7 linked regions of the Callithrix jacchus genome follow. The protein of the gene in region 1 interacts with the protein of each later gene in a pairwise test. Links are inferred from orthologs where the notes say so. Each region holds a gene or a part of one and is shown in the gene's direction. Other genes may lie near its edges. The genes, in order: EFHC2, LONRF1, CLIC3, CCHCR1, CACNB4, CCDC120 and PLOD3.

Region 1 (2,896 bases):
CGGGGACACAATTCAACCTATAGCACTACACCTTTCTTTTGTCACCATTTCAAACTGATCCCCTTCTAGCTATTTCACGTTCTCCTGCAGCAGCTTCTCTCAGAGGTAGCTCCTGTTCTCCATGCCTGCTTCAGCTGCCCTGGTTATGGCACCGTCATCTTTTCGTGGTATTATTACACTCACCTCCAGATTGATTTTCTTACTGCATTTCATTCTCTGTACATCCAGCAAGTTAGCTCATCGGTTTCTAATCAGATTGCTGTCATTTCCCTGGCCAAGACCTATCAGTGACTTCCCCTAACCACAGCCTCAAGTATAAACTAGCACAGAAGGTCAGAAGTTCGGCCCCAGCTTCTCCTTCTAACCATCTCTCTTGCCACTTTGTACCATGTGCCACAAACCACACTGCTCTACTCACCCTTTCTTTAAAATAGTTTTTAGATCTCTAGGCCTTTGCTTATGCTTTTCCCTATGCCTGGAACATCCTTCACTACCCTTAACCCTCTGCTGAACTGCTTTGTGTCCCATAAGGTCCAACTGAAACACCACTTAATCAGCTGGCTTCCAAAATTCTATCACATCAAATAATTGAGCCTTTACCTATGTGTCTGACACCTTGTGATTCTGGATACTAATATTAATATACATATATACAACAATTAATCTTGACAGTCATATTTCAATCTTGACAGTAGAAATATAAGCAACTGTATGTACGGACTTTGCCTCCTGTTGATATTAATTAACTATTGCAGCATACGCAAAGAGTTTGTGTGTATATATACACACATATGTATTACATATTATAGAAAATGTGCATCTGTGTGTGCATGTGTATGCACACATAAAGTGGCTTATCTTCAGGATCATACTGTGAGTGATCCAGCGTTCTTTTCAATGTTTCCTGAAGAAACAGTAACCAAGCAACATATAGCTAATAGTTTGTATTTTAAAAATTGGGTTCTTTAGATGGCAGTTCATGCCTGTAATCCCAGCACTTTGGGAGACTGAGGTGGATGGATAACTGGAAGCCAGGAGTTCAAGACCAGACCAGTCTGGCCTGTATGGGGAAACCCATCTCTCCTAAAAATACAAAACTTAGCCAGGCATGGTGCCGTGTGACTGTAATTCCAGCTACTCGGGAGGCTGAGGCACGAGAATCACTTGAACCCAGGAGGCGGAGGTTGCAGTGAGCCAAGGTTGCACCACTGCACTCCAGCCTGGTGCCTGGTGACAGAGTGAGACTCTGTCTAAAAAAAAAAAAAAAAGAAAAAAAGAAAAAAAAGAAAGTATGGGAGGAGCTATCACTGTAACAATGCCGAATAACAACTCCTTAAATTTCAGTGGTTCACAAGACACATTTCTTTTCTTGTCTGTGGGCATGTAGGTCAGTCAAGCATGGGTGGATTCAGCTGAGCTTGGCTCTTAGTCTACAAGTCCAGCCTGGTCTGATCTACCTTGGTCATTCTAAGAACAGCAGCGTCCCAGGCCATGTTCTTCTTATGGTGATGGCAGAGGCACGGAAGGCCAAGCCAAATGATGCCAGCACGCTGGAGCCTCTGTTCATGATATGTCTGCTTACAGTACATAGGTCAAAGCTAGTCATGTGGCCCACCCCATATCAAAGGAACAGGAAAATACACTCTTCTTACTCCACGGGAGGTCCTAGAGTCACATGACAAAGAGTGTGGGTGCATAATTCTTATACAGGCAGGCAATGAAGAATCAAGAACAAGTATCCAGTCTACCACAAAGTCCTTATGAACCTAAAGTAGATGGTACAAATTTTCACTTTGAATATAAACTGTTTGGTGTTGAATTTGCAAAACTGTACTTGGAAATGTGGCTCTAATCGTATCCATTTTTGTTTTTTTTTCTAGAGATGTGAGGATGTTTGGCTTGGGATGTCATCACCTATTCCTGCAAAAAACATTGACTACTTAACCTTTTTGAAGGATACGTTTGGCTTAGAGGAGGAATAACCATGCCAGTTTTGGTCAATTCTTTTTGATTTACTTCTCTAATTTTGCCACATTTACTTTAGTAGATATAATTTCATTAAAAACAAAAAAGAAACAAGGTTTATATTGAATGGGAATCCGTAAACCACAATGAATCTTATTTTGTCATGTTAGATTTTCAGGACACCATATTATATTGCTGATGTACTAGTACTATTTAAAATGCCATTTTGAAACATGTTGAGTATTTTTATTATATGTATGATTTATTAATACCAAAAATCTTCTGATAGTTTCTCATCAAACATAATTTGATTCATGACTATATGAATGGAAAGTGAATTTTGATGGTTATACATGACAATATAAAATGAAATTATATCACAGAAATAAGTTGTGATTCTATTAAACATTTCTGAAATCTTTTTGACATGTTTATTACTTATATAATTAAGTTTTCTGGCAACTCACCTCATCAAAATAGTTCTTAAACCTTTCTAGAGTAAATATGTTTATCTTTTGAACTTAGTAAAGCTATGGAAAGAAAAAACCTCCCCTCGACACACACACATACTTGGGAAACAAATGGGAACATATGCAGTATTTATATTTTTAATACCCTTTTTTTAACTAAAGTCATCTTCTTAGCTTAGGAATATATGCATGTGTATATAATTATAGTATGGCCAAAATTTATTATGTCTAAAATATTTAGGAATGTGAATGCTGAAGATTTTGAGATTTTTTTTTTTTTTTGGTTTGTTTTATACACACATCCCACCCACCCCACCCTAGAGGTTTACATATTCAGAAACTACAACATTTCCCCCACTGCATTTTTCTAGTTCTATTTTTATTTTTCTTCAATGGAACTCTTGTCATATACTGTACATTTGATTAAAACCCATAGCCATGTACTTCTGGGAATTCAGTGT
Region 2 (3,500 bases), on another chromosome or scaffold:
GTATTATAGATTTGATGTTTATAAACTCGAGTCCTCTTTATGGTCCTAGGAATGACCGGTAATTTTTCATCATAATGTCTTAATCTATATAGTGATTTTCTTGTCCATTCTGGAAAAACTTCTCAAATTTGTTTTTTATAGCAAATTTTCTTATTCTTATAATGATTCTGTTTTCTGTGTTTTCTAATGAAATTTTAAGTTCTGTTAAAAATTATTACAGTAAAGTTTGCTTTTAAAGTTTCTGCCTGCTTTTTGACCAGCTCCATTTTTCATTATATACTCTTATAATTGTTATCATTCTTTATTTATTAGAGCCTGTCATTTGTTTTCTTGAATTTTGTGAGGGTGCAAAGCACATGCTTAAAAAAAAAAAAAAAAGACTGAACAAGGCATAAGCTTATTTCTTGCTTCTATCAAGTTCAATGTATGTCAGCAAGGGCCAGAATCCTATATTGGCATTCCAAGACCAAAATTATTCAATTATATGGCCCCTCTACATTAAAAAAAAAATTATTTGTATTGTGGTAAAATATATATAAAATTTACCATTTGAATCATCTTTAAGTGCACAGTTCAGTGGCATTAAGTACATTCATATAGCTTTGCGAAAAGGAGACGCTCTTTAAGCTTTAGTTTTAATTTTCATTTCAAATCTTTCAAAAGTAAAAAGTATTTTTTTTTTGTCTCTTGTGTGCTGTAGTCCTATTTTTATATTTCAAAATGTTTTCGGAGTTTCTTTGTTGTTTTTATATGAGTCATCCTTGAAGTATGAAAGACTGAGTCAGGCCTGGTATTTGTTCGGATGAGTTTGTGTATATGAGAGCGAGCACAACCTGGCACATAGCAAGTGGGATGTAAGTGTGCATTAAAGAAATCAATATAAGATGGAGGAGTTAAACTTAGATCTTCCTACCTGTGTTCTCTGAGATGACTCTTCTATCTCAAGGTAGAAGACTGATGCAGTTAATTTTACATTTGCAGTTTAGTGACCCAGTAGTCTAAAGAATATACTGAGGGGGTTCCAGAGGTAGCTGTAGCCTTGGGCATTTAGAGCAGAAGTTCATCATTGTGTAATTACCTCTCTCACTTACTGGCTTTATATGCTAAGTTATTTGTTGTAGCTTTTTGTTTGTTGTTGTGCTTTGACCCAGTTTCCTAGTAAAAGATGTAACTGGGCGTGAACTCCTCCTGTTACTACTTTCTGTCATGTCATCTGCACCCTAATCACTCATCTTTTCTTTTTTTGTAGCAACTATCATCCACTTTTTTGTTCCACTGCTTTCAAAAGCCATTGATTCGTAAAGACAAAAGGAATTCCAAATTAGTGTAGACCTTTGAACCAAAATTCACTTTCAGTCTTAGTCCTCCCACTTGGGGGCTGTCAGTAGGGTTCTGCAATACTGCACTGCTAAGTCAGTGAGATGAGGCATAGGTCAGGCCTTGCTGGCTTTCTTTAGTATGGTCAGTTAGCCCTGTATGAGGCAGAAATATGTATTATAGCATAGGAATAATACTCTCTGGGAGGTCAGCACTGAAACAGGTATTGCCCTGTTGTTCTGATGCCTTTTTCCATTTGTGTCAGTTGGCATATGGATGGGGGATTAGACACAGAAGTCTTACTGACTGTTGTATTTCTAGGTTGAGAATGAAGATGAGATTAAGAATCTCAGAGAGCTTCATGATTTGGTCTACTCTCAAGCCTGCAGCTGGTTTCAGAATTTACGAGACAGATTTCGAAGCCAAATTCTTCAGCACTTTGGATCAATGCCCGAGAGGGAAGAAAACCTTCAGGTATGGTGGCTTTTCTGTTCCCCCAAAGTCAGGTCGATGTAAACCCAAATTTGCAGACTTTGACATTTTCATTTTTTTATTGTCCTTTCTGTACTACATTTTCTTTGACCGCCCCCTGCTCCCATCCCCACCTCATCTTTAGAATCATGAGTTCTCTAGAGTAGTGGTATCTAGTGCATTCCATACAAGTAGAGGCTGGAAATAGGTGTCAGCTGAGATGCCTGTAGGAGAGAGTGCCAGAGAGGGAGGAAGTCCTTAAGAGGACTTTTAGGAGGGGTAAGGAATTAAAAATGGGATGTTACTATCTAGAAACTGTGACTGTGAGACAACTATGCCTTCAAACCCATCACCTGTTGCTGTCATTCTTTGAGAGCAGAGAGATTTACAATTTTCTATACATTTAAAAATCTTTTCTCATTTTTCTGTCTCCCAACATTTGACCCCACGACTTACTCATTTTTGCCTCTTCATGTTTAATACTTCGCTTCTTATGAAACTGTTATTCTTTTAGTCTTGCTGATACTTAGGGTTTACACTTAAGCTTAGTCTAATGAATGTGTATCTGGAACTTTCTGTGCAAGCAAAACTGCAAGAGGCATAAAAGAAGGGTCTGGCTCCTGGAAAATATGATCATAGACTCATTAAAGCATTGCGTTTTAGGCATAAGTATTTTTGAATTTAAATGTTTTTGGTCAGAAGGTGATAGATTGTACAAAGGAATGGCTGTCAGTAAATATGTGAAGATGGAGAAATAATAGATCTCATTGTAATGCACACTGCCTCATTCCCATTTTTAAGGGTTAGTCTGCATCTGTCTGAATCCCAATTGAATCCTTCACCTGAACTTGAAACACCAACATAGGCCATCTCCACATTTAGTATTCATTCTGTTTAGTATATTATCAGTTGTTATCTATTTGTTTTAACTGATTACTTGAATCTGATTAAACGTCACAGAAATAGGCTTTGATAAGAACAATATTGAATAAGAAATTTCACATGATAAAAAAACAGCTTATAGAAAAATTCAATATAACTTTCCCATCACCTTCACCACCCTTGCCTTTTATTATCCTGTCCTCTATCACTGCTTTCTGTTAGCGATGTTGCGTGAGTTAGGATTCGGGCAGGAAAGCAAAAGCAGCCACCCTGCGTATTCCTGGGATGAAGGTTTTGATGTAGGTTGCGGACTTTATAGAGTAGTTGGGGAAGCTGTGGGGGGGAAGGTCAGGGATTTCACCTGCAGAAGTCAGGGAATTTGCCACCAGAGATTCAGGAACAGCCAACAGGGTACTTCTGAAGAACTAGTGGGGAAGTGGCTATGATTCTTAGGAATCCCAGTAAGTCCCCACTACTACCTTAGCAGTGGAGGTAGGGGTTTCCAGGAGCTCTCTGGAAAGCTGCTGCTCATACTTTGCAACAATCTTCATACTTTGCAACAATCTTCCGAGGATACTGGCTTCTCTTCCAGCTTCTACACCCTACAAGAGTGCCTTTCATTGGCCAACCCTAACCTGGAACCCTATGGCAGAGGGGATTCTAGGAGACAGTTTCTAACATCTCTGGAATGCAGAAGAGAAGGTAGTGACGCTTAGCTGACAGCAGACAATACATGAATGTAGAAACTGAATCTGATTCTGAAGGGAGCCTACTGAGATCAGCACTGATGTCCTAGCTCCTTTTGTCATTCTGAAGCTTTATATTTTAAG
Region 3 (3,745 bases), on another chromosome or scaffold:
TCGAGAAAAACTAGGGCTTGCAATCGAGGTGGAGGCAGAATGGAGGGAAACTGAGGCTCTGCAGGGAGCTGGGGCTCAGGATGACAAACGATGGGGGAGCCACATGGTATTTCCAGGGCTCCATGGCACTGAGCCCCGACCATCGTGGAATCCAGAGGGGTCAGACTGGGCTGGCTGGGACAGCACTGGAGTGCGGTCGTGGGGACAGGGTGGGGCCTGTACCAAAGCCCTAGGGAGGTGAGCAGGTGAGCCATGCCACCACAACCACCCTGTCCAGGCTCACTGGGGCACCACACCTCCGGGGAAAGTGTGGCCAGGCCAATCCTGTGGGGCGCCTGGCCTCTGGGTGGGGTCTCCCCTTGGGGTACCTCCCTGGGGCTTCCCCCCAAAGCATCAGGAGGCACAGCTGGTGACCCCAAAGGGCCAGACTGACCTGTGGGTTCCAGTCACACCAGGAGGCCCAGAGCAGACTCACACCTGCGGCCCACCAACCTCCTCTGGCCTCTTGCTTCCAGCCATGCAGCCTGTGGCTTCTAACCCCCTCCAGCTGCTTCTTTTAAAAGATTAAGGGGTGGGGGTAAGAAACCTGCGCTGAGTGCCAGTGGGCGGGACAGGAGGTGGGGTGGAGACCTGCACTGCCAGCCAAACACCAAAGCCAGGCTGTCCCCCCACCCCCCGCCCTGTTGCAGGCAGGTCTGGAATTCGAGCCCCACCCTGAGTGGCGAGGGCCTGCCTGACAACTCAGTCAGTGGGAAGGGGCGGCTCCTCCAGGTGGGCTTATCATCCCTGCAATGCCTTGATGCTGCAGACCGGGAAACTGAAGAAGCTAGGCTGGTCGGGTCATTTCTCCTGCCCACCCCACCCCCGGCTTTCTGGGCTAGGGGCCCTGACCAGGAGTATTTGCCCAGGGAACAGCCATAGGGTAGGTCCTGATTTGGGTTCATGGTGGGGGTGGTCCTGAAACAAAGCCACCCCTCCCCAGGTGATACCCCCTACACCCTTCTGGTCTGTAGGCTCTCCCCATGCCCCGCCCACTGGTTTCCATCCATCACGCCGGCTCCCAGCACACTCAGTGCCAGGTGGGCGGACCTCTGGGTGTGCATCAGCCTCAGGTACAGGGCAGCCCCCTACATCATTCCCCCAGAGGTCACACCCTCAGGCTCAGACACCCCAGGGTCAGGCTGGCGTTGCTCAGACAACCGGCTCTGAACCCTGGGCAGCTTCATCTGCCCGCCTAGGTGGCTCCACGGGGCGGGCCCCTAGGCCAGGGAGGGCGGGGCTCACAGAGAGATATAAAAAGCTCCCCAGGTCTCCACCCGCGCCTGACCGCGGCAGCTCCCACCATGGCAGAGACCAAGCTCCAGCTGTTTGTCAAGGTGCAGGGCAAACTGAGCTGTAGGGAGGGTGTCTGGGAGCGGATACTCTTCTGGGTTTTGCTTTCTGGGACAGGCTGGGGGTTGGGCCTCCCCAGTAATGTCTGACCCCTTCCTGTGGGTGGCTAAGGGGACTCAGCCCTACAGAGGCTAAGTAAAGTGTAAAGTGGGACAGCCAGGGGAAGAAGGACCCAGAGAGTCACCCAGAGAGGGGTCCAGCGGCCTTGGTCCTGTTTCCAGCCCAGTCTCCTGGGGGAGGGCCCCTTGGTGGGAAGGTGCCAACCAGGCTGCCAGTGGTGGAGCCTGCCAGGAGCTGTAGGTGGGTGTTCCAGGATGCGGGGTGCTGGGCCAGGCAGGCCCTCAGCTCTCAGATCAGGGACCAGGGCGGGGGCTGATGAGCTGCCAGCCACAGTGCCCAGTCTGGTGGGTGAATCACTCAGAAAACAGCTTGTGGGGCCCACCCCACCCCTGTAGCCAGCTTTTGGGACCTCTGCCCAGGCTCTGCTAAGACTCCAGGGCCCAGGCCCGCCCCAGGCCTCCAAGCTCCCAGCAGCTCTGTGTCCCTCCCCACGTCCTAGGGACCCAGTCAAGGGCCCTCACTGGGCACTTGGAAGTCACACCGACCAAGCTGGAGCCCTGGCGTCCCTCCAGTCCCGCTGGCAGTGGGAGGCAGGTCCCACCCAGCCTGGTGGCAGGATGCCTGGGTCTGCTCCCAGCCCTGACCCCCATTCCACCCACCCAGGCAAGTGAGGACGGGGAGAGCGTGGGGCACTGCCCCTCCTGCCAGCGGCTCTTCATGGTCCTGCTCCTCAAGGGCGTACCCTTCACTCTCACCACTGTGGACACTCGCAGGTGAGGCCCATCCTGGGGACGCCTACCTGGCCTCACACACCAGTGGGCCAGCCTCCTCCCACCCCGCTGCTGCCCACAGGTCCCCAGACGTGCTGAAGGACTTCGCCCCTGGCTCGCAGTTGCCCATCCTGCTCTGTGACAGCGAGGCCAAGACAGACACGCTGCAGATCCAGGACTTTCTGGAGGAGACGCTGGGGCCGCCCGAGTGAGAGACAGAGCAGGGTGGGGGGACTAAGGGGGAGGACCCAGGGAGGTCACGCCCAGGACAGAGCCCAGGAAAGCGCTTCGGGGTACTGTGGGGCCAGGACAGGGCTGCGGCCAGTCTGATGGAGTCTCTCACCCCGACATCCCCGCAGCTTCCCCAGCCTGGCCCCTCGGTACAGGGAGGCCAACACCGCCGGCAATGACATTTTCCACAAGTTTTCCGTGTTCATCAAGAACCCGGTGCCGGCGCAGGACGAAGGTGAGGCGAGGTCAAGGGGCTGGATGCGCAGGCGGGAGGGCGCCCTGGGCGGGGTCCTCACTGCGCCGCCGCCCCCAGCCCTGTACCAGCAGCTACTGCGCGCCCTCGCCAGGCTGGACAGCTACCTGCGCGCACCCCTGGAGCATGAGCTGGCGCTGGAGCCGCAGCTGCGCGAGTCCCGCCGCCGATTCCTGGACGGCGACCGGCTCACGCTGGCGGACTGCAGCCTGCTGCCCAAGCTGAACATCGTCGACGTGAGCAGCGGGGGCGGGGAGGACGAGCGCCAGGGGGCCCGGGACGCTGGGAACAGCAGGTCCTGACCGCGCCCCCCCCCACCCCCACCCGCCCACAGACCGTGTGCGCGCACTTCCGCCAGGCGCCAATCCCCGCAGAGCTGCGGGGAGTCCGCCACTACCTTGACAGCGCGCTGCAGGAGAAGGAGTTCAAGTACACGTGTCCGCATAGCGCCGAGATACTGGCCGCCTACCGGCCCGCCGTGCACCCCCGCTAGCGCCCCGCCCCACCCCTGCCGCCTGATAAAGGCATCTCTGTCCGAAGTGAGCGTGTCCTGTCATCTGAGGAGCCAGAGGCCCCATGATCACTGCCCCCAGTTGGGGGTGCTTCCCAACCCCAAACCCCATGGTGGGACACTCAGCTGAATAGCCCAGAACCACAGGGGCAGGAGAGCCAGGATCGGGCGGGTCCCATCCCCCACGCTAAGAAGTGCACAGACTCCAGGTCTCCTGCAACAGGTGGCCTCAGGGATCACCAGGACCGGATTGGGCTCCCAAACCAGTCAGGCCGGGGTGGGGCGGGGTGCCCCAGGTGGATGGGGGCTGGCTACATTCCTCAATCTTGTCCCAGGGTCAGGCGCTCCCCTCCCCACAGGGCCACTTCCACAGCATCTTGGAGGTCTGGGATCTGCACAGGACGTTCTGTGGGCATCTCCTACAGGACTCTGTGCCTTGCCTGGGTGTGGCCTGGGAGGGTGGGAACAGAGTTCTAAGCCTTGCGGACCCGGACCCCGCCTGGCTGTGCCCCTCTCGGCTCCTGGGCT
Region 4 (3,500 bases), on another chromosome or scaffold:
TTCGTCCAACTTTTCCACTTAAAATATGTGGCCTAAAAAATAAAACAATAAATAAGACAAACACCAAAAAACAAAAAGAATGTGGTGGCCTAATGGTACACACATTTGATGTTGAATCTGCCTGTATGTGGCGCTCTCTAGAGAGATCATGTTTCATGATCTCAGCCAGACCTTAGGTCCTGTGAGTCCAGGCACTGGACTTAACATGCTCAATAGGGCTTTGATGAATGATGATGGTGTAAGTGCAGACATCCCCATGCCCCAGCTTCAGCACCCCCTTCACCTCCCAACATGAGTGCAGAGGGGTCTTTTGCTTCTCCTGACTATGTTTATGCTCTCAACTATCCTTCCATCTCTGGAGACAAGTTTCATCTGCACTAACCTGTCTTTGAAGGTGCCGGGAGTTGGACGGGTCACAGGCCCTGAGCCAGCAGGCTGAGCTGATCTCTCGTCAGCTGCAAGAGCTGCGGCGGCTAGAGGAGGAGGTCCAGCTCCTGCGAGAGACCTCACTGCAGCAGAAGATGAGGCTAGAGGCCCAGGCCATGGAGCTGGAGGCTCTGGCACGGGCGGAGAAGGCTGGCCGAGCCGAGGCTGAGGGCCTACGTGCAGCTTTGGCTGGGGCTGAGGTTATCCGGAAGAACTTGGAAGAGGGGAGCCAGCGGGAGCTGGAAGAGGCTCAGAGACTGCACCAAGAGCAGGTGAATCCAGAGGTGGAAAGGATTCAAATTCATAATGGAGAGCTGGGCAGTAGCTTCCAAGCAGGTATTGCAGAAAAGACCCCCCGCCATGAGTAGTAAGCAGTGGAATGATGAGACCTTTTGGTGAAAGGAAACACACATGGCCTAGAGAGATGGAGAACTTGGGTGCTTTGATCTTAATTCAGATTCTACTTTTCCCCCAAGACTCAGGTGGCCTCCCACCACTTGAAGCCCTCCTTTCCTTTCTAGTAGGAAGTAATTTGCCTCCCTACTTTACTGCAGGTACCAATTCATTGGGGGTATTGTGGAGGGCAGTGTGGAAGGTGGGTAAGGAGGCTGTGGTGGACTGGGATAGAGATTATTCAGTCCACAGTGCTTACTCTTTGCCATCTATGAGACTTAGTGACCAAATTAGCCTGAGTCCTGCTTTCATGGATGGAGCTGACAGCCTTGTGGGGGATACACTCGTCTATATTTAATTTAATCATAAGTAATTGCAATTGGGGGAGTGCCTTGAAGAAGGACTAGAGAGCGCTAACTTGGTCTGGGGTTCAGGGAAGGCCACTAACCTGTCGGCATGTCAAGAAAAGTAACCATAGGGCTGGGCATGGGTGGCTCACGCCTGTAATTCCAGCATTTTGGGAGGCTGAAGTGCGTGGATCACAAGGTCTGGAGTTTGAGACCAGCCTGGCCAACATGGCAAAACCCTGTCTCTACTAAAAATACAAAAATTGGGCCGGGCGCGGTGGCTCACACCTGTAATCCCAGTACTTTGGGAGGCCAAGGTGGGTGGATCACGAGGTCAAGAGATCGAGACCATCCTGGTCAACATGGTGAAACCCCGTCTCTACTAAAAATGCAAAAAATTAGTTGGGCACGATGGTGCATGCCTGTAATCCCAGCTACTCAGGAGGCTGAGGCAGGAGAATTGCCTGAACCCAGGAGGTGGAGGTTGCAGTGAGCCGAGATCGCGCCATTGCACTCCAGCCTGGGTAACAAGAGTGAAACACGGTCTCAAAAAATAAAAATACAAAAATCAGCTGGATATGGTGGTGCGTGCCTGTAATCCCAGCTGCTCGGGAGGCTGAGGCAGGAGAATCACTTAAACCTGGGAGGTAGAGTTTGTAGTCAGCCAAGATCATTCCACTGCACTCCAGCCAGGGCAACAGAGCTAGACTCCATCTCAAAAAAATAAAAAAATAAAGAAACCATAAAGGAACTGGGAGAAAACAAGGGAGAATTAAATTCCTTATAACCTTGTAGTGTACAAGGCCTTTCTACCTATGAGTCAAAATCCAAAATCTTGAAGCCATAAAGGAAAAGATTGACTCATCGACTTTATAACATGAACATTACGAATAGCAAAAAAAAAAAAAAAAAGCTATATTTATAGCTCAGATTACAAGAAAAGGGTACTATCCCTAATATATAATGTGTGTATAGAATTTGGTAACGGAAAGACCAGCAGTCCAATCAGAAAATGGACAAAGGAGATTCATGAAAGAAACTTAGCAATAAGAAGTTAGGCCAGGCACGGTGGCTCATGCCTCTAATCCCAGCACTTTGGGAGGCCAAGGCGGGTAAACCACTTAAGGCCAGGAACTCGAGACCAGTCTGACCAACATGACGATACCCAGTCTCTACAAAAAATACAAAAATTAGCCAGGTATGGTGGCAGGTGCCTGTAATCCCCCATCTTCTTGGGAGGCTGAGGCAGGAGAATTGCGTAAACCCAGGAGGCAGATGTTAGGATGAGGTGAGATCACTACTCTCCAGACTGGGCAGCAGAGCAAGACTGAAAAAACAACAAGCTACCATTTGTGCTGAATAAGGAGTTGGCCAGTGAAGAGGTGTGTGGGGTGCAATGGTAGCTGGTGGACACTCAGCAGGACAGCAGATGGAGATGGGGACAGGAGGAGGCTAGAAGGCTGGAGCACAGAGATAAAGGGCCCTGAGTGTGTTGCAGAGCACAGGACCCAGGGTGCAAGGCCTTGGTCAGTTCAGAACTTGATACTTTCCCTTAAGAGTAATGAGCAGGCGGCCGGGCATGGTGGCTCAGGCCTATAATCCCAGCACTTTGGGAGGCCGAGGCGGGTGGATCACGAGGTGAGAGATCGAGACCATCCTGGTCAACAAGGTGAAACTCTGTCTCTACTAAAAATACAAAAATTAGCTGGGCATGGTGGTATGCGCCTGTAGTCCCAGCTACTCGGGAGGCTGAGGCAGGAGAATTGCTTGAACCCAGAAGGCAGAGGTTGCGGTGAGCCGAGATCGTGCCATTGCACTCCAGTCTGGGTAACAAGAGCAAAACTCTGTCTCAAAAAAAAAAAAGAAGAGTAATGAGCAGGCTGGGCACAGTGGCTCATATCTATAATCCTAACACTTAGGGAGGACAAGGCCAAAGGATCACTTGAGCCCAGTAGTTTGAGACTAGCCTGGGCAACGAAGTGAGATCCCCGTGTCTATTTTATAAAATAAGTTAGGGCCTGGCACGGTGGCTCACACCTGTAATCCCAGCACTTTGGGAAGCCAAAATGGGTAGATCACTTGAAGTCAGGAGTTTGAGACTAGCCTGGCCAACATGGTGAAACCTCATCTCTACTAAAAATATAAAAATTAGCCAGATGTGGTGGCTCATGCCTATAATCCCAGCTACTTGGGAGGCTGAGGCAGGAGAATCGCTTGAACCTGGGAGGCAGCGTTTGCAGTGAGCTGAGATCCAGCCTGGGCAATGAAGTAAAACTCTATCTCCAGAAACAAAAAAAAAGAAATTAAAAAAATTTTTTTTCCTTTTTTTTTTTT
Region 5 (4,018 bases), on another chromosome or scaffold:
AGGTTGGTGGGAGGGCATATTCCAGGGAGGCATTTAAGGTAGGATTGCATTTGGAATGCTTGGGTAATGAGTAGATCTGCCAGCTTGCTGGAAGGTTTGTATAAAAAAGATCAAGATGGAGAAATGAGATGGAGAGTGATCAGAAATGCAGGGGAGGCTGGGATGTTGGACCAGGGAGTTTGGAGTTTAATCTTAGAGAAGAGTGACTTGGGCAAGAGATTTCACGAAAATGGTTTTGCCTGTAGTGTGTAAATGGAATAAAATCTCTGCGTGTGTATACGCACATGCCATGCACTAGGAAGTCTGGAGGCAAAAACACTGGTTATAAGATTGTTACAGAAGTTTGGATTAAGTGAAGGTATTAGGAATGGAAAGGAAGTGTCTGGTGGATGGTAAGCTATAATTGGGACCTCAATAAAGCCAAGCAATTGTTAAAACAAGCATGATAGTTGTGTCTATAAAGTCCTAGAATGCAAGCTTAGATGGGCTGATTTAGCGATTTGAGAGGGTATGTATATGTTAATTTAAACAGAATCTCTTTATTTTTGAATTTGCATATATTTTTCTTCCCTCTTCTTATTCCTCTCTACAGTACCTCACACTTACTCCTCTTCTCCGCATCCCTCTCTTTTAATTTGATCACAAATTAATCTCTTGTATGTATTTGCAGGAGGAAACCAGCGGCAAACGTTGTGTATGGTTGCAAGGATGAGTTTCTCCCCTTGAAAACATCCATCCGCATAGAAATGGGAGGCACAGTGACCAACTCTTGCTTCTTAGCAGATCTAAAATGACCTTCAAAACTCCTTAGGACAGGCTGGTCTTTGGCGGGGCAGCATCTTCCGTCAGACTCGGGCTGGTTGGGTTTCGCACGGCTGCCTGGATGTGTGTGACTCGCAGCTCTAAGGACAGAATTGCCAAAGCAATACAAAAACACGCAGGAAAAGCTAGCCACAAAACCCCATGCCTTACCACAGTAGGCTGTTGAGTGAAGTCGCGGAAGGTGGCTCTGCTCTTGCCCTTTTAAAATTCCAGTGCAGCAAACACACACACACAGCCGCCCGGTTCTTCCCACTCCCGCCACACTGCACCAGCTTCCCTCCCCAAGTCCTGATTCATGAACCGTGCCACCTTTGTCTCATTTTAAACTGTGCAGACTATTTTAATCCTGCCACCCCCATCCCAGATTTCCCCCTCCCTTCATCCTCTGGAAGCTCTGATGTAAAGCGCTCGCTAGGTGGGAGAGCGCTTCTCCCAGTCGGCTGGGGTAGGCGAGTTTCCGAGAAGCCCCCTCCCCGGGACCCAGCCACGGGCGCGGGGGAAGCGCCTCGGTCCCTTTAAGGTGCCGCGCTCTCCGAAGTGCAGGCAGGGAGCCTGGGCGCCGGCGCGGGTCCTGGAGCCGGGTGGGGAAGTCCTGTGCCCTCCCCCTCTGCTCGCAGCCCAGCCTCGGGGGCCAGCGCCCTCCGCCCACCGCGCACGGGCGGGCCATGCGGTGGCTCTGAACGATGTCCTCCTCCTCCTACGCCAAGAACGGGACCGCGGACGGGCCGCACTCCCCCACCTCGCAGGTACCGCCCCCTCCTCCCCCCCTCCTCCTCTTCCTTCTCTTCCTTCCTCACACCTCCTCCGCCGCCCTAGCGCGCCCCGCCTTCGTGCCGGGCGTGCGGGGCCCCAGTCCCGGGAGTCGGCGGCCCCGCTCCCCTACCCCTCCTCCACGTCCCTTTCTCCTCCCGCTCCTCCTCTTTCTCCTCCTTCTCCTCTTCCTCCTCCTCCTCAGCCTCCTTCGGGTCTCTGCGCTCCCGCTCCGGAGCCCGCAGCCTCCCCAAGCCGATGCCGGGGATTCGGACCCCGCACCCTGACAGTCTTTGTTAATGGATGTGGTGGGTGCTTGCGGGCTGCACTTCTCGGGCATCTTCTCTGCCGTCGAGGCTTGGAGTGGGTGGGTGGGGGTGGGGGCTGTATTTGGGAGTCGCGAAGGAGACTTGGGTGCGGGCTCTAGGGGACCCCGGGGAGCGGGTCCGGAGGCGGACTCCAGCCAGGGATGGTCGCCCTGCTCCGCGCTGCGGTCCTCACTGGCTTCTCTCTGGCCCCGTGTGTCGAGTCCAGGTGGCCCGAGGCACCACAACCCGGAGGAGCAGGTTGAAAAGATCCGATGGCAGCACCACTTCGACCAGCTTCATCCTCAGACAGGTACGAGAAGGAGGCGGGAGAGCAGGATGGGGAGGAGGCCGAGCGTGTGGCGCGGAGTCCTGGAGCCGATGGTGGCCACCACGTGCAGGAGCTCTGGGTCGAGTCCGCGTGCGTCTCTTCCCGGCCTCGGCGGGTGCTGGGGCTCCGTCCCTCTCCCTCTCCCTCTCCCTCTAGCCCAGGCTCTTGAAGTCTTCGTGTCCCGGCGCCGCACCGCCCTGGGAAGTTAGTTTGTGCATGTGTGTGGACAGTTCGGAGGGGACCTGGCTTAAGTCAGGGACGTTGAATTAAAGAGCTGGAAATATGTCTGGTTGCACCTTTGGTGCCTGGAGAAACGTCTTTACGTCGTGTAACTCGACCTAGAGTAACCAGACCCTTCGGCTCCGGGGACCTGGTTTGATTCGAGTTGAGACTTAGTGGTTTCTTCTATTTTGTCCTAATTTGAATACTCTTATTTGTCTGGATCTTGGAGAGATAGCCGAGCTCCGGTCACAAGAAAGACACTTTGAGCAGAAAGTTTACTCTCACTTTGGGACCGATTCTTGGATTCGCTTAATAAGGGAAAGACAGCCGTATCTGGTTAAGTAGGAATTAACGAAGGCCAGCACTCAGCTCCCGGGGTCTGGGTGCGCCTTCACTTCGTGTCTGTTTTCTTAGTGCTTGCTTTCTCCTGCGTGGTTCCAGTGAGAGTTGTCTGTGCTCGGGATCTCGGGATCGTTGGTAACGCTGAAGGCTTAGGTGCCTTTCACCTTGACACAGGAAATTGGTCCTCAGTTTTCCAACTGTTCGTGTGCGGTTAATGAAACCACCCCTGGCTGCTGGGTGCTAGAGAGATCATGCGAAAGTGAGTCACCTTGATCTTTCTTTGGAACAGAAATTGTCGGGGTGTGTCCTAGGTTTCGGGTGACCTAGGAAGACATTGGTCATGGCACCAAGAAGCTTTTATCCCAGGTCTTCCTGTGGGCTGCCAGGGTGACCTTGAGAAGTTCTTTTCCCTCTAGGTTACTCGGTATTGTGTAATGTGTTTCTAACCTATGATGGCAGCTGTGGTGTATCTTTAGTGATTATCATCAATTTAATCATATCAACGAGGAATGGACTTTAGCCTCAAAATTGGACTCAGACCTCTTCTAAAAGGGTCTATAAAGCACAGTTAGATGATATTTTTATGCAGAATTTCACTTTCTGCAGAAGCAGAAATTTTGACTACCCTTTAATTTAGTGACCACTAAGCATATACATTATTGAAATAAATGCATTTTGGATTTCTATCTCATTCTTAAAATGCATTCTATCCCCTTTGTAGTACTTAGATTATGTATTTGATAAGGCACATTTTTCTGTTATGCAATTGTTTGAGGTCTTGCTGGTGTTTATTTTGTAGGTGCCTATTTTTAGTGGTGTTTTATTGTTGCAAATTCTTGGAAATACTAATTATACAGCAGTTCATTCCATAAGCTGTTTGACTAGAACTTTGGAGTTCATGTACATAACTGCACTAATGCTTTATTCTTCCTCCTAAGCAGAAACAAAATAATATTCTAATATTCTTATTCTTTTCTCAATTTATGCCCACAACTGATTGAGATAATGTACATATAAGTTCGTGTGAAGTGTGTGCTGCTATGTGCTGGCTTAAAAAATGTAAAACATATTATGTGATAAATAATTTTGGGAATAATTTAAAGCAAAGTAGATGTTTTAGAATAAACATATTTCATAAATCTGTATGAAATGGGGATTCATTGGTTTGATTCAATGTTCTAATTTAAATTCAGGAGTTAATTGTAATTATGTTATATGTACAATCTTTTTATTTTTTGGCACAAAA
Region 6 (2,569 bases), about 4.5 Mb from region 1:
TCCCTTCAGCTGGTGAACGCAGTGGCCACAAGAACCTGGCCCTGGAGGGGCTGCGGGACTGGTACATCCGGAACTCAGGACTGGCTGCGGGGCCCCAGCGCCGGCCTGTGCTCCCCTCTGCGGGCCCGTCACACCCAACCTTTCTCCATGCCCGCTGCTATGAAGTGGGCCAGGCGCTGTACGGGGCCCCCAGCCAGGCGCCACTCCCACACTCGAGGAGTTTCACGGCACCCCCTGTCTCTGGCAGGTATGGGGGGTGCTTTTACTGATGGGTAGGGGTCTCTTAAGGCAGATGGTGAATATATCCAGGCCAGGGAATGGCTAGTCATGATTGCTAATGAATTGGACCATGAGGAAACTAGCTGCCGCGATGGCATAGGGTCACTCTGCTGCACATGATCTGCATTAGTCCATGGGGTCCTGGTGGAGGGGATCTTGGGCGCTGGTAGCAGCAGTTCTTTATCAAGTTATAGGCTGAAGATGAGCCTTGACGCAGGGTGCTGGGAGGAAGGGACATCTATGCCCCTTGCCATTCTCTTCCTTTTCTCTCCTTGCCCCAGAGCCTGAAATTGCTGTCCTATGCCTGCCTCCACCTCTTTAACGAGCCTCTTCCTTTCTCTTTCTTTGTCTTGTCTGCCTTTTCCTCTCTTCTTGTCTTCTCCGCCCTGTCCTCCGGATTCCTGCTACCCTTCTAAAGATACTACGCGGACTTCCTGTATCCCCCGGAGCTGAGCGCTCGTTTAAGTGACCTGACGCTAGAGGGGGAGCAGTCCTCCAGTTCTGACACCCAGACCCCAGGGACGCTGGTCTGACCCCTTCTGATATGCCCCTTGTTGGCCTGGGCACGATTCCAGTCTGGGGAGCACACAGCTGACCTCGATGGGCCCTGGGATGTGGTTGCTCTCAGTCCTGAGCGGAGTGTGCCAACCTTACCTTCCAAGGCCTCTGGCTTCCTGTGGGCCCAGGAAGGTGTCTGACACCCTGCTTCTCTCACACTGTACTGGGGACTGGGGGCCTTCAGCCAGCTTAAAAGAGAGGGGATGATGTCATGGGGACCCCAAGCCCCTTCCTCCATTTCTGTTTACAGTTGTAACTTAGGTATTCACTGTCTTCCTCCAACACTAGGCGTTTTATAAAAGGGAAACTGTGATCTCATCTGGTTGGGTTCATTCCTATTCCCATGCCCAACCAGGTTCCATTCAGGAACCCCCTCCATAAAATGGACCATATCGGGTCTCAGGGCCATTTAGGGCAGCCAGGAGACTCTGGTGTGAACAGAAGTCCCTGCCACCCATTGCCAGGGCGTTAGTGGGGCAGTGAGCTCTCTGCCCACACTTGGAAGGACTACAGTCTGGGTGGGATGCCTGAAGAAGCCCAGTTCCATCTGTGCCCAAAGCCTCTATCCTGACCACCCCTAGTCAGGAGACCCCACAGGAGGGGCAAAGGGCTATATGTGTGCTGTGTCCTGGGATGCTGTGGGGTTGAACCTGGCATCCAGTAGATGCCAGTAAAATCCTCAGGTGAGGTCTGGCCACAGGCCACGGGCCACTCACACCTTCCTTGGCTTTCCTTCCATCCACCACTTATTGTTTTTTTGTGGGGTGGAGTCTTGCCCTGTCATCCAGACTGGAGTTTAGTGGCACGGTCTTGGCTCACTGCAACCTCCGCCTCCTGGGTTCAAGAAATTCTCCTGCCTCAGCTGCCTGAGTAGCTGGGATTACAGGTACATGCCACCACGCCCGGCTGATTTTTGTTTTCTTTGTAGAGACAGGGTTTCACCATGTTGGCCAGGCTGGTCTCGAACCCTTGACCTCGTGATCTGCCCACCTCAGTCTCCCAAAGTGCTGGGATTACAGGTGTGAGACACTGTGCCCAGCCCCCATCTACCACTTTTTAAGCAAACTCACACAAGTTGTGTTTTCTATGATACCTGTCTGTGACTTTCTGGAGCTGGGGGTTCCCCTACCCCCTTTTCCTGGTGTTAAACTTTTCTTTTTGTACCAATGGATCTGGGCCCAAGACATTACCCACACTGGAAGGGGATTTCTATAATAAATGTGTAAACTGAACCCATGTGTTGCTGCTCTGTCTGCCTTGCCTTGAGGGCCCACACCTTTAGTCAAGACCAGATAATATATTTTTACAGGAAAAAACATACCTTGGGAATAGCCTGTGATAGTGTCGTCTGTTTTGACTTTACTTGCTTTGTGATGTGGGGCAACTTCTTTGCCTGTCTGCACTCAGATTTCTAGCCAACCTCAAATAATAACTCTTGGTAATATAATATAAATGATGATAATAAAGATTCTCTGTTCTTAACCTCCCTATACTTTTAAATTTTTTCTTTCTCTTTCCTTTCTTTCCTTCTTGCTTTTCTTTCCTCCTTTCTTTCTCTCTCTCCCCCTCCCTTCCTTCCTTCCTTCTTTCTTTCTTGACTCTTGCTCTGTTGCCAGGCTGGAGTGCAGTGGCAAAATCTCAGCTGACTGCAATCTCTGACTCCCTGGTTCAAGCAAATTCACCTGCTTCAGCCTCCCAAGTAGCTGGGACTACTGTCACGTGCCGTCACACT
Region 7 (3,500 bases), on another chromosome or scaffold:
TCTTTACTAAAAAACAGTACAAAAATTAGCCAGGCATGTTGGCAGCCACCTGTAATTCCAGCCACTCAGGAGGCTGAGGCAGGAGAATCACTGGAACCTGGGAGGCAGATGTTGCAGTGAGCTGAGGTCATGCCACTGTACTCCAGCCTGGTGACAGAGCGAGACTCTGTCTCAAAAAAAAAAAAAGCAAGGAGGCTGAACACGGTGACTCATGCCTGTAATCCCAGCACTTTGGGAGGCCGAGGCAGGCAAATCATGAAGTCAGGAGTTCAGGACCAGCCTAGCCAACATAATGAAACCCTGTCTCTACTAAAAATACAAAAATTAGGCTGGGTGCGACAGCTCATGCCTGTAATCCCAGCACTTTGGGAGGCCAAGGCAAGTGGATCATCACCTGAGGTCAGGAGTTCAAGACCAGCCTGGCCAACATGGCGAAACCTCTTCTCTATTAAAAATACAAAAATTAGCAGGGCATGGTGGCACACGCCTGTAATCCCAACTATTCAGGAAGCTGAGGATGGAGAATCTCTTGAACCCAGGAGGTGGAGGTTGCAGTGAGCTGAGATGGCGCCATTGCACTCCAGCCTGGGTGACTGAGCAAGACTCCGTCTCAAAAAAAAAAAATGAGAGAGAACATGAAGAGGGATAGGGATGCTGAGGTTCCCAGTGGCACCCAGCTCAGTTCATCCTGCCCTTCCTCACCCAGCGGCTTCGATATGCTCAGGCAGGTAGTCAGTGGAGCTCTCTGAGCCAGCAGCCTGGTCAGAACTCGAAGGTTCCTGCCCCCCACAAGCCACACTCCAGGATAGTCCCAGTGTCCCTTTATCCCTGGAGAATTTGGGACCCCATATTTAGAAGAACGTGTTGCTCGGCAGCTCCCAGAGAAAGGGGGTCTGAATCCTGGCCTTTTTCTTCCCCAGATGAAGTGGTTTTAAAGTTTGATCGGAACCGTGTGCGTATACGGAACGTGGCCTACGACACGCTCCCCGTTGTGGTCCATGGAAATGGTCCTACTAAGGTGCCACCAGTGGCTTCAACCCCTGCCCTGCCCTGCCCCAACCCCTGGGCATCTCCAACCCTTCTGAGAAGCCGGCCCTCCCCAGCTCCCACAGCAGAGGTGCCCCACCTCCACCCTGGAGGCCTCAGCCACTCAGCCTCTGTCTCTCCCCAACAGCTGCAGCTCAACTACCTGGGAAACTATGTCCCCAATGGCTGGACTCCCGAGGGAGGCTGTGGCTTCTGCAACCGGGACCGGAGGACACTCCCGGGGGGGCAGGTGAGGCAGGGGTGCCGGGAAAGAAGGCAGCATGCTGAGCAGGAGGTGCAAGGACAGTGGGCTGGGTGTTGGTGGGGGCAATGCCCCTGAGTCCCCGAAGCTGGCAGGGTGGAGGGTGGGTGGGGGCGGCGGGAAGTCCAGGCTTCCCTCTGAGCACCTTCGTGTCGCATCTTCCAGCCTCCCCCCCGGGTGTTTCTGGCCGTGTTTGTGGAACAGCCTACCCCATTTCTGCCCAGCTTCCTGCAGCGGCTGCTGCTCTTAGACTATCCCCACGACAGGATCACCCTTTTCCTGCACAATAACGTGAGACCCCCCCGCCCCCCAAAGCCTCTCCCAAAGGACCCTTCCCCTGCCCTAATCAGCACTCCCGTGCCCCCACCCCCATAGCCTACCTGCACCCCCATCCCTCAAGGGCCGCCTCCTTGCCCTCTGAGCCCGTCCCCCATGTCAACCCCTCCCCAGGAGGTCTTCCATGAGCCTCACATCGCTGACTCCTGGCCGCAGCTCCAGGAACACTTTGCAGCCACGAAGCTGGTGGGGCCAGAGGAGGCTCTGAGCCCAGGCGAGGCCAGGGACATGGCCATGTGAGCAGGCACTGGGCAGGGAGGAGGGCAGGATGAGGGTGCAGGGTGGGGGTGGCTGCCACCCGCTGCCTGGCCCTCGCCTCACCTATCACCCTTCCAGCTCCTCCCAGGCTTCTCCACTCGCATCCTTGCAGTTCCCACGCTGTCACATCCCCTCCCCACCCTTGCTAGCTCACCCAGACAGCGGAGAGCCTGGGGAAAGAAGGCCAGATGCTGCCTCCCTCCTCTTCTCCTGGGGTGGGGCCAATTCCCCATCCCCACCTGCCTCCCTGCCTGCTGCTGTTTGAGCTCAGCTCTCACCTCCAGGGACATGTGTCGGCAGGACCCCGAGTGCGAGTTCTACTTCAGCCTGGACGCTGATGCTGTCCTCACCAACCCACAGACCCTGCGCATCCTCATTGAGGAGAACAGGTGGCTTGCCCTCTTTCCCTGCAGCCGGGGGGCACCCCAACAGGCCCCGGGAACCCCACTCCTGCCCTGGGCACTGGGCTCCCCAGGCCTGCTCTCTTCCACCCAGCCCTCACCCTCGCCTGTCCACAGGAAGGTGATTGCCCCCATGCTGTCCCGCCACGGCAAGCTGTGGTCCAACTTCTGGGGTGCCCTGAGCCCTGACGAGTACTACGCCCGCTCTGAGGACTACGTGGAGCTGGTGCAGAGAAAGCGAGTGTGAGTCCCGCCAGCCTGCAGCCCCCTCTTCTGACCCAGGGCCTGGGTAGACCCAAGCCTCCTAGTCACCAGTCAGAGGTGCCATGAGGCCGGGTGCAGTGGCTCACACCTGTGATCCCACTACTTTGGGAAGCCAAGGTATGAGGACTGCTTGAGCCTGGTGAGATCAGCCTGGTCAATATAGCAAAATCTTATCTCTACAAAAAATTTAAAGTATTAGCTGGGCATGGTAGTGAGAGCCTCTAGTCCCAGCTACTACTACAGAGGCTGAGGTGGGAGGATCACTTGAGCTTGGGAGGTTGAGGCTGCAGTGAGCCATGTTTGCACCACTGCACTCCAACCTGGAAACGGGGAGACCCTGTCTCAAGAAAAGAAAAAACAAAGGCCAGGCCTGGTGGCTCAATCCTGTAATCCCAGCACTTTGGGAGGCTGAGGCGGGCAAATCACTTGAGATCAGGAGTTCCAGACCAGCCTGGCCAACATGATGAAAGCCCATCTGTTTTTTTTTTTCTTTTTGAGATGGAGTCTTGCTCTATCGCCAGGCTGGAGTGCAATGGCGTGATCTCGGCTCCCTGCAACCTCCGCCTCCTGGGTTCAAGCAATTCTCCTGCCTCAGCCTCCTGAGTAGCTGGGATTACAGGCACACACCACCATGCCCAGCTAATTTTTGTATTTTTAATAGAGACGGAGTTTCACCATATGGGCCAGGATGGTCTCGATGTCTTGACCTCGTGATCCACCCGCCTCAGCCTCCCAAAGTGCTGGGATTACAGGCGTGAGCCAGTGTGCCTGGCCTTTTTTTTGTTTTTGAGATGAAGTCTTGCTTTGTCACCCAGGCTGAAGTGCAGTGGTGTGATCTCAGCTCATTGCAACCTTCACCTCCTGGGTTCAAGTGATTCTCCTGCCTCAGCCTCCTGAGTAGCTGGGATTACAGGCGCACGCCACCATGCCTGGCTGATTTTTGTATTTTGAGT

The links.
Region 2: the proteins of EFHC2 (region 1) and LONRF1 interact in binary tests that used the Homo sapiens proteins (3 or more experiments, as listed by UniProt). The two-hybrid records come from large-scale screens. The link is inferred for Callithrix jacchus from reciprocal best matches to the Homo sapiens genes EFHC2 and LONRF1.
Region 3: the proteins of EFHC2 (region 1) and CLIC3 interact in binary tests that used the Homo sapiens proteins (3 or more experiments, as listed by UniProt). The two-hybrid records come from large-scale screens. The link is inferred for Callithrix jacchus from reciprocal best matches to the Homo sapiens genes EFHC2 and CLIC3.
Region 4: the proteins of EFHC2 (region 1) and CCHCR1 interact in binary tests that used the Homo sapiens proteins (3 or more experiments, as listed by UniProt). The link is inferred for Callithrix jacchus from reciprocal best matches to the Homo sapiens genes EFHC2 and CCHCR1.
Region 5: the proteins of EFHC2 (region 1) and CACNB4 interact in binary tests that used the Homo sapiens proteins (3 or more experiments, as listed by UniProt). The two-hybrid records come from large-scale screens. The link is inferred for Callithrix jacchus from reciprocal best matches to the Homo sapiens genes EFHC2 and CACNB4.
Region 6: the proteins of EFHC2 (region 1) and CCDC120 interact in binary tests that used the Homo sapiens proteins (3 or more experiments, as listed by UniProt). The link is inferred for Callithrix jacchus from reciprocal best matches to the Homo sapiens genes EFHC2 and CCDC120.
Region 7: the proteins of EFHC2 (region 1) and PLOD3 interact in binary tests that used the Homo sapiens proteins (3 or more experiments, as listed by UniProt). The link is inferred for Callithrix jacchus from reciprocal best matches to the Homo sapiens genes EFHC2 and PLOD3.

The regions. Positions count from the first base shown.
Region 1 is NC_133524.1:45,133,493-45,136,388, reverse strand, and holds the end of EFHC2 (EF-hand domain-containing family member C2), read left to right. Parts: intron 1-1,880; coding exon 1,881-1,982; 3' UTR 1,983-2,396; downstream 2,397-2,896. UniProt on the Homo sapiens protein: Microtubule inner protein (MIP) part of the dynein-decorated doublet microtubules (DMTs) in cilia axoneme, which is required for motile cilia beating.
Region 2 is NC_133514.1:29,029,242-29,032,741, forward strand, and holds part of LONRF1 (LON peptidase N-terminal domain and RING finger protein 1), read left to right. Parts: intron 1-1,638; coding exon 1,639-1,791; intron 1,792-3,500.
Region 3 is NC_133502.1:185,421,645-185,425,389, reverse strand, and holds CLIC3 (chloride intracellular channel protein 3), read left to right. Parts: upstream 1-1,322; 5' UTR 1,323-1,343; coding exon 1,344-1,376; intron 1,377-2,115; coding exon 2,116-2,225; intron 2,226-2,304; coding exon 2,305-2,430; intron 2,431-2,581; coding exon 2,582-2,942; intron 2,943-3,040; coding exon 3,041-3,199; 3' UTR 3,200-3,245; downstream 3,246-3,745. UniProt on the Homo sapiens protein: In the soluble state, catalyzes glutaredoxin-like thiol disulfide exchange reactions with reduced glutathione as electron donor.
Region 4 is NC_133505.1:35,974,947-35,978,446, reverse strand, and holds part of CCHCR1 (coiled-coil alpha-helical rod protein 1), read left to right. Parts: intron 1-394; coding exon 395-698; exon of another isoform or gene 699-732; coding exon of another isoform or gene 733-762; intron 763-3,500. UniProt on the Homo sapiens protein: May be a regulator of keratinocyte proliferation or differentiation.
Region 5 is NC_133507.1:78,277,142-78,281,159, forward strand, and holds the start of CACNB4 (voltage-dependent L-type calcium channel subunit beta-4), read left to right. Parts: upstream 1-1,218; 5' UTR 1,219-1,505; coding exon 1,506-1,568; intron 1,569-1,636; exon of another isoform or gene 1,637-1,871; coding exon of another isoform or gene 1,872-1,880; intron 1,881-2,106; coding exon 2,107-2,190; intron 2,191-4,018. UniProt on the Homo sapiens protein: The beta subunit of voltage-dependent calcium channels contributes to the function of the calcium channel by increasing peak calcium current, shifting the voltage dependencies of activation and inactivation, modulating G protein inhibition and controlling the alpha-1 subunit membrane targeting.
Region 6 is NC_133524.1:49,616,954-49,619,522, forward strand, and holds the end of CCDC120 (coiled-coil domain-containing protein 120), read left to right. Parts: coding exon 1-247; intron 248-697; coding exon 698-812; 3' UTR 813-2,069; downstream 2,070-2,569. UniProt on the Homo sapiens protein: Centriolar protein required for centriole subdistal appendage assembly and microtubule anchoring in interphase cells. Together with CCDC68, cooperate with subdistal appendage components ODF2, NIN and CEP170 for hierarchical subdistal appendage assembly.
Region 7 is NC_133503.1:12,545,564-12,549,063, forward strand, and holds part of PLOD3 (multifunctional procollagen lysine hydroxylase and glycosyltransferase LH3), read left to right. Parts: intron 1-920; coding exon 921-1,018; intron 1,019-1,174; coding exon 1,175-1,276; intron 1,277-1,453; coding exon 1,454-1,579; intron 1,580-1,738; coding exon 1,739-1,860; intron 1,861-2,166; coding exon 2,167-2,271; intron 2,272-2,400; coding exon 2,401-2,526; intron 2,527-3,500. UniProt on the Homo sapiens protein: Multifunctional enzyme that catalyzes a series of essential post-translational modifications on Lys residues in procollagen. Plays a redundant role in catalyzing the formation of hydroxylysine residues in -Xaa-Lys-Gly- sequences in collagens.